Linked DNA regions of Coturnix japonica. The protein of the gene in region 2 purifies or fractionates together with the protein of the main gene of each other region. This does not show direct contact. Links are inferred from orthologs where the notes say so. Each region holds a gene or a part of one and is shown on either strand. Other genes may lie near its edges. The genes, in order: NOD1 and SUGT1.

The links.
Region 1: the proteins of SUGT1 (region 2) and NOD1 purify together in Homo sapiens (affinity purification with western blotting; 3 studies listed by BioGRID and IntAct, with this or other methods). This does not show direct contact. The link is inferred for Coturnix japonica from reciprocal best matches to the Homo sapiens genes SUGT1 and NOD1.

The regions. Positions count from the first base shown.
Region 1 is NC_029517.1:37,981,122-37,984,932, forward strand, and holds part of NOD1 (nucleotide-binding oligomerization domain-containing protein 1), read left to right. Parts: intron 1-284; coding exon 285-368; exon of another isoform or gene 369-537; intron 538-1,409; coding exon 1,410-1,493; intron 1,494-2,717; coding exon 2,718-2,801; intron 2,802-3,811. UniProt on the Homo sapiens protein: Pattern recognition receptor (PRR) that detects bacterial peptidoglycan fragments and other danger signals and thus participates in both innate and adaptive immune responses.
Region 2 is NC_029516.1:148,385,289-148,389,199, forward strand, and holds the start of SUGT1 (protein SGT1 homolog), read right to left. Parts: upstream 2,808-3,911; 5' UTR 2,707-2,807; coding exon 2,678-2,706; intron 2,589-2,677; coding exon 2,543-2,588; intron 997-2,542; coding exon 907-996; intron 1-906. UniProt on the Homo sapiens protein: May play a role in ubiquitination and subsequent proteasomal degradation of target proteins.

The DNA.
Region 1 (3,811 bases), on a different chromosome or scaffold from region 2:
GCTACAGCTCTGCTGTCAGTCCCAAAAGTCAGTTTGCTCTCGCTGACCACAAACCTTATGGTCTGTGTGACAGACCTGCATCAGGCTGCAGCCTGTGAACTGGTCTCACATATGTAAGTGGGAAGGGCTTATTCATTTGCAAAGTAAGTGAGCCTTTGAAACAGCTAAGTTCAGAGCTGGAAAGCTGAGACGTGAATCTTCCAAGATAGACATTATTATTTGGTATCGAGAAGGCCAAGCAACACTGGCTACTTTTTAAACCTTTGTGTCTGTTTGCTTCACAGTCTCGCATTCAATGGCATCACAACAGAGGGGGGCAAAAGCATTGCTGAAGCTTTGCAGCACAACAACTCCGTGAAAATATTCTGGTAATCAATGATGTGGGCTGCTTCTCCATCTCTTCCTTCTTCAGAGCAAGCTGCAACCTAGTTTTACTGCCTCCTTCTTTCCCTCGTGCCACCTCTGCACTTTTGCTACCAGCACGCTGTAAGATCACAGAATCATAAAGATCAGAATGGACCCCTGGAGATCATCTAGGTATATCCTTTGATGAGCAGTGGATTAGCTTTCCTGCTTGTAGGATCACTGGTACACCTTTGTTTCCATGGGAAGCTGGGTCTGTAGAATGGGCTCCTTACATTCCTGTAGGTTTTGATATGGTGGTATAGGACACCCCCTGTTTCCACTGAATGTGCTTAGGTGAGGCCAGGCCCAGCTTCACTGCTCTCCTGCTGTGACAGGGGAGCTGAGGACAGCTTGCATTCCTTAGTGCTGTTCACAGACGTCTGACAGGGTCCTGTTCAGCATTTCGAGTGTTCCTCCTCTGGCAGCAGAAGCAGTGTGCATGTGGGGTTCTGTGTGTCTGTATGTAACTTTAGGAAGATTGGTTGGGTTTTGACTGACGGGAGCAGAAGTCTCTTAGTGTCTCTGCAGACCTCTGCCTGAAAGCAATGATTTAATCCATCTGCCTCTGCTTTTGTTGTGTCCAGTAGTGAGCTGGAGCTTCACAGCTCCCCTTGTCCCTACATGCAGTTCTGGTTCATGCTTATTTCTACTCCCTCCATCTTACTTTCCCCATCATTCACAGTTTGTGTATCCCTTTAGTGCTGCATCTGCCTTTCCATCTTTTTCCAGTGCAGTTCACGCAGCTTTCAGTTACTCAAACATTATGAGAAAACCACGTTAGATAGATCAGTGCTCTGAGAAATTAAGCTCTGGCATTCTTGTTGCCTTTTTGACTCCAGGGCTTCTCTTTAGCATGTCTGTGTGTCCAGACTTCAGAGGTTGCTCAGGGCAGAAACAGCACACACCACTTTGGCTTTCTAAAATGAAGTCACCGACGAGCTGGAAAAACAGGAAACTGAAAAATAACGATAGCATCTTAAGTCAACGTTTTCTCTCCTACCTAGGCTGACAAAAAATGAGCTGGATGATGAGGCAGCAATGAGTTTTGCAGAGATGCTGAAGATCAACAAGAAATTGGTGCATTTATGGTAAGTTACATTCCACAGAGGCACAGTCTCTTTGGCAGTAACCGCATTAAAGCTTCACCTTCCAAGTCTATGTAGGTCACAGTACACTCTCTGTGCATGGTCTGGATGCAGCTGACTGGTTGTAGACAGCTTTAATGGAAAGTTAATAAAGCTGCTGTCTAGTGCTTTGAACCTGCTTTCTTACAGGGCAAACTTTAAGCTGGCCGTGCGTCCTGGTAACTTTTGAACTGCACAGCTGCCTTTGTTTTTCTGGGGCAGCTCATTACTGGCCTAAAATGTAAATTTCAGAGAAATACTAGCAGATATCTAGCATAAAGTAATGTTATGATTCCTACTGTGTGTCATCATGCTGTGAAAGTGGCAAGCTCATTTGGTATCCTTCAGTCAAGAACCTACACTGAACACTTCTGTTGCCATTTGCCCGGTGCTTTCTTCTGTGGCACTTTGACTGACACTGGATGCTTAGCTGTGAGACGCCAATCTCCGCAAAAGCAGATTCTTGTTTCAAGCAATCACAAGGATACTTGTTAAACTGCTGGGAAACCACAGCCCTGGAAGCTCTAATCCAGAGGTTCACAATAATTTGCCTGTGAATGGGGTTGGGCAGATGTGGGCTGTGAAACAAACAGCCATCCATTCATCCCAAGTGATTGAGAGAACATAATAAACAGAGTCCTTTTACAAGCTTGTACAAAACCTTTGCTAATCACACGTTAGTATTACTTGTGCTAATTGTAGTCTGTGCCCTTAGGAAAGTACTGACTATGTGAGAGCTGGGTACTTGTGGTCTCTTGTAAGCAGCAAAAGTTCTGGTGCCCATCACCCTGAAAATAAAAGGAGATGGGAAGAGCTTGATTTCTTCATGGGCAGCTGCAGATACGCTTCCCAGGGCAGTCTGTCTGTCTCAGAGAGCCCCAACACTGCAATCTCATACCAGCAGTAAAGAGCTCTCAGCAGAAATGTGTCAGCAGTGTCAGCTCAATATCTCCAGAATGCAGCCACACGCGAGCTTAGGAGGAAGCGAATGATACTCTGAGCTCTGCTTCTGAAAGTGCATCTGTAGGCATCTGACAAGCACTGTGTGCCCTCCTCAGAGATGGAAATCACAACTGTCTTCCTGTTGCAAACTGACAGCTTTGCTCCTTGACATCAAGCTGAGCTCATGTGGGCTTGTGCTATAAAATAGTTTGCGTGCTGGGCTGATATGAAGTGCTTTCTTTTTAGGCTTATCCAGAATCAAATTACAGCCAAAGGAGTGAAGTACCTCAGTGAAGCTCTCAAGGAGAACACAGCCATTAAAGAAGTCTGGTAAAGATCCTCTCCTCAAAGGCTCACTTTACTTTTTAAACTTTCTTTCCCTTTAAAACACGTGGCATTAACCTTCTAGCCTTAAAAAAACAAAAGCACAGAACAAGTTTCTGTAGGGCAGGGGCTGCAGTTCCAGCAAGCTTCAAAGAGGCAAAAAGCCTCTGTCACTGGAACACTTCCCTGCGTGTTATGATATCAAGGAGCTCTGTTAGTTCACGTCTGTCTAAACGCGCCGACTTGCAGAACGTGTGTTTCTGCAGAACTGGGCCCACAGCTGCAGTCAGGTTTTGCTTCTCGTGATTTATTTTCCAACTTCTTGACACGTTCGTGCCTCTCAGGAGCTGAATCCCAACAAGCAGGAGCTGGCTACATTTAATTAGCATTACTAATTTGGTTCATATTATTTGTGCTCGGATTTTCTTTGGGCGGTGCTCCAAGCGCACGAGAAGTGCTAAGCTCTGAGGAGATTAACTTTTTTTGTGAGATTTGCTTGTTTTAGATTAGGCAGGCAGCAGCCAGTCACGCATGTGCGCTGCAGGGCAGTGTGCCAAGCACCACATTCCTTCCCTCACCTCTGGGAGTTCAGGAGTCAATAGAGCGGTGCTGTTTTTTAGCGCTGCTGCTTCTGTATTATTGAACCTGAAATTTATGTTTTAAAATACGCGTTTGTTTTAATGAAAGGACGCTGAATTCCTGCTCAGAAAGACCGTGACTCACTTTATCTGACAGAGGGCTCCCCGGGGATGTGGAAGAAGCTTCTTTCAAAGGCCGCTGCCAGCTGCCAAAGAGGCTGCAATACCCACCTGAGAAATTCAGGGTTTTCAAAGCAAAGCCTGTCTTGTGGTTCTTGCTTGGCTTTTCAGGCATCCCTCACCATTCCATCGATTCTGTAGGTCGGTAGCATTTCTGAGAGCTGCATGTTTCAGGCTACTTATTTCCAGGGCTGTAAACATCGATCTGACCAGATTTGAGTATTTTGCCATAAGTCATCTCACGTTAATTATATCTGA
Region 2 (3,911 bases):
ATCACATCCAAACACGGCTCTAAACACATCCAGGGATGCGTCAACCACCTCCTGGGGAGCCTAATTCCAGTACCTAACACTTCTGGGTACAGAAGTCTCCTAAATCACAACCTAAACATGCCTGGCGCAACTTGATGGCCATTTCCCTCTCGTTGCACCAGTGAGAAGAGACCCTGCCACTCTTCACTTAAAACCTTTAAGGTACGAATAAGGCGATAATTCCCCTCAGCCCTTTTCCCAACTAAACAGCCCAGCTCCTTAGCCTCTCCTTGAGGTCGATTTTCCAAGCCTTCACGGGAGCCTCGCTGCCTACTGGACCTCTCCTGCACCTCATGTCTTCCTGTGCTAGGTGCCCAAAGCCCCCCTGAAACACAGTACGTCAAGGTGAGGCCCACAATGCCGAGTCCAGTGGCAGGATGACTTCCCTAGTCTGCTTCACCACATTCCTGATACAAGCCAGGATGCCTGATTTATCTACTTATTTTGCTTAATTGTTGACAGGCAATTTAGGCTAAATGTTAATTCAGTTAACCAAATAACACCTGGGTGGCAGGTTATCACCTTCCTACCACAACTGGATTTCAGTGTCTACCAAAAAGAGCATGTAAGGTTGGAAGAGTTTACAACATAAAGCTTAAAATCACCATAAAATCTAACCTGAAAATAATGTTCCAAGACAGTTCTGTGCTAAACTCAAACAGCAACTGGGATTGCAGAGCATCAGATTCGGCTGCAAGTTTTGCAGATATAAAATAATCAAAGATAAGGAAGGCTCTCGAGTACATCCTAACTGCAAACAGCAAACTAAAGTTAACAGCAACACTGTTAAAAGCTAGTCATCTAAACTATAAAGAATTTCAAATACGACCTCTTAAGAGGATTGTCAGTTGCCTGAAGATGTTTCACAGTGTAGTTCTGTAGAAGAATGTGGGCATAAGCTCGTTGACAGTAATATTCGGCATCATCTGGACTCCTTTCCAAAGCTCTTGTCAGTTCTCTGTGAAGAAATCCGAAACCGCACCCTTGGAAGATCCCAATAATCTAAAAATGGACTCTGTCAAGTAAGATGTCAGAAAAAAAATACCCTGGACCAGCTCACTGAAGGACCTAATTGACAGTTTTACCTGAAAGCTAACGCCAACTGAGGCATAAGAACTTGCAGTTACACACGCTATTCCTTGCAGAAAGGGAACATCACAGAATCACAGAAACGGTTGAAGGGACCTCAAGGAACATATTTCCAACCCTCGCCTGGCAGGGCCACCAAACATACAACTTTTAACAGACAAGGTGCCAGGGCGCTCAACCTGTCTGAACCTCCAAGGACGGATCCACAAACCTCCCTGCAGTCTTCCAGGCTAACATCTCCTAGAAAAGAACTTCCCCCTAACATCAATGCCTTAAATAGGAATCTGAATGCTCAGGTAATCCTGTATGTTCCAAAAACCTTCCTATAATTCTCAGCACATCTGAAGGGAAAAAAATACCTCGCTATGAGGGTGAGACAGTAACAGTACGGTTACCATGTTTGCTAACTTTGCTCAATTTCTATTCAGAATTTGGCAAGCATGAGGGTAGCTAAGATATAGACTTTAAGCCTGCACAAATGTTAGCACAACACAGCTGCTAGAACTCACCAAGCCAGAGAAAAAAGGAAAAGTAGCAGGGCCTGTCTGAATTCAGATTGGTATCCTGCTCTCTTTCATTTATATGCTTACACTAGGAACTACGTGGCCACAACAGCTTCTTCCAGTGGCAGCATCAGGTGTACAAAACTCCATAGAAGTACAGCACAAACATCTAAAACCTCAGAGGTCTCTGAAGAAACAGGAGGCAGAAAGAGCTACAACAAAAAGCATCACTAGATCTGACTGTAAAGACATGATTAAGGATACATTCAAGATCAGACATCATTCGTGGTAGACAGATATTCTAGACAAGAGAAGCATGAGGAGACCCAACAGGATCACGGAACACTGAGAAGTGAAGTACAACTTTTGTTTTGAGACACTCCTCCAAACAAACCATACATTACAGCAACTCGAACAGTCAGCCACAGGGCAGCTGACAGGCAATTGTAGGGGTTGGAAGGGACCTCTAGAGATCATCGAGTCCAACCCCCTGCCAAAGCAGGCTCCCTACACCACATCACACAGGTAGGCGTCCAGGTGGGTCTTGAATATCTCCAGAGAAGGAGACTCCACCACCTCCCTGGGCAGCCTGTTCCAGTGCTCCGTCACCCTCACCTCACAAGCTTATGGCTTTATCATCATAGAATCACAGAACGGCCTGGGTTGAAAAGGACCTCAAAAATCATGCAGTTTCAACCCCCCCCGCCATAGGGTTGCAGCCTGTAGACCAGCCTGCCCAGACCCACACCGTTCACTGTTAAAACACAGATAATGAGCAGCCAGTTGTACCAAACCCAAGACCTCAGCCAGGCCCCACACACAGAGGGCAGCACAGCGAACCACCCCCTACACACAGCGATGCGGCATCACCCCTATAAGACCCCCTATAAGCTCCCTCCCACAGCTCTCACCCGCGCCGCCGCCGTCGGATCCCGATCGATGTCCGCGTCCGAGAACCTGCCGAGGAAACACAACGCCGTGAGGAGGCGGGGATGAAGAAGGAGCGGGCAGGGAGGAAGGAGCGGGGTGTTGAGCTGGGTGCTCACCGAGCCGCTGCTTCTGCAGCCGCCGCCATCCCTCCCCCAGGAAACTTCTGGAGCCGCCACAAGGCCGCAACCACCGCGCGTGGCCTGACGGGACCAAGCGGCGCCACAAGCTCCTCCCGCCCACGCCATCGCTACGGAGGCACGCAACCTTCCATAGAGTGTGTGGAGGACTGTCGGGACAGAGCGGCGCGCAAGATGGCGGAAAGCGCGGTGCGCATGCGCTGGGTGTCCGCCATGATGGAAATGGCTGCCTGTCCCCGTCTGAAATAGAAAGTTCTCATTTGAGATGTACCTCACATCACACAGTGCTGACTCATGTACCAGCAGCAGTGCCAGCGCGGCCCAGCTGCAGGGAGAGCTCTGCCAGATAAACCTCCAGCTGGTGGCCAGCCCTTCCCGAAAATGGGATTACAGCTGTGGGTGTTTGCAGGTCAAAACATAACAGCATGGAAGGGCAGGGCATGGAGCCATGCAGTGAGCTAAAGCAAGGCTGCTTAGATGCCAAACTGTGGCTGAGAACTGCTTGTGAGATGGCTTTAATTCATTCCATTCAACTAGACTGAGCTGCTGCCACCTCCAGTGACAGAACATTAGTAGTGAGGTTCACAGAATCACAGAATGACCCGGGTTGGAAGGGACCTCAAGGATCATGTAGTTCCAACCCCCCTGCCTGGCAGGGCCACCAAGCATACACATTTACTAGATCAGGTTGCCCAGGGTCCTGTCCAACCTGGTCTTGAACACCTCTCTGAGCTACACGACATCCCAAGATCACAATGAAACATGGGGCTGTTTATAACATATTAGGAAGTGATAGAAAAGGAGGAGTTGTTGGTTGAGGGGTCTGGAGCACAGGCCTTACGAGGAGCGGCTGAGGGAGCTGGGATTATTCAGCCTGGAGAAGAGGAGGCTCAGGGGAGACCTTATAGCTCCCTATAACTTCCTGAAGGGAGGTTGTAGTGAGCTGGGGGTTGTCCTCTTCTCTCCTGTAATCAGTGATAGAACTAGAGGGAATGGTTTAAGCTGCGCCAGGGGAGATTCAGGCTGGACATTAGGAAGTATTACTTCTCAGGGTAGTCGGGCACTGGAATGCACTGCCCAGGGAGGTGGTAGAGTCACCGACCATGGGAGTGTTCAAGAAATGTTTGGATGTGGTGTTGATGAATATGATTTAGCTGGGAAGTATTGGTAATGGTTGGACTAGATGATCTTCTAGGTCTTTTCCAACCTTGAT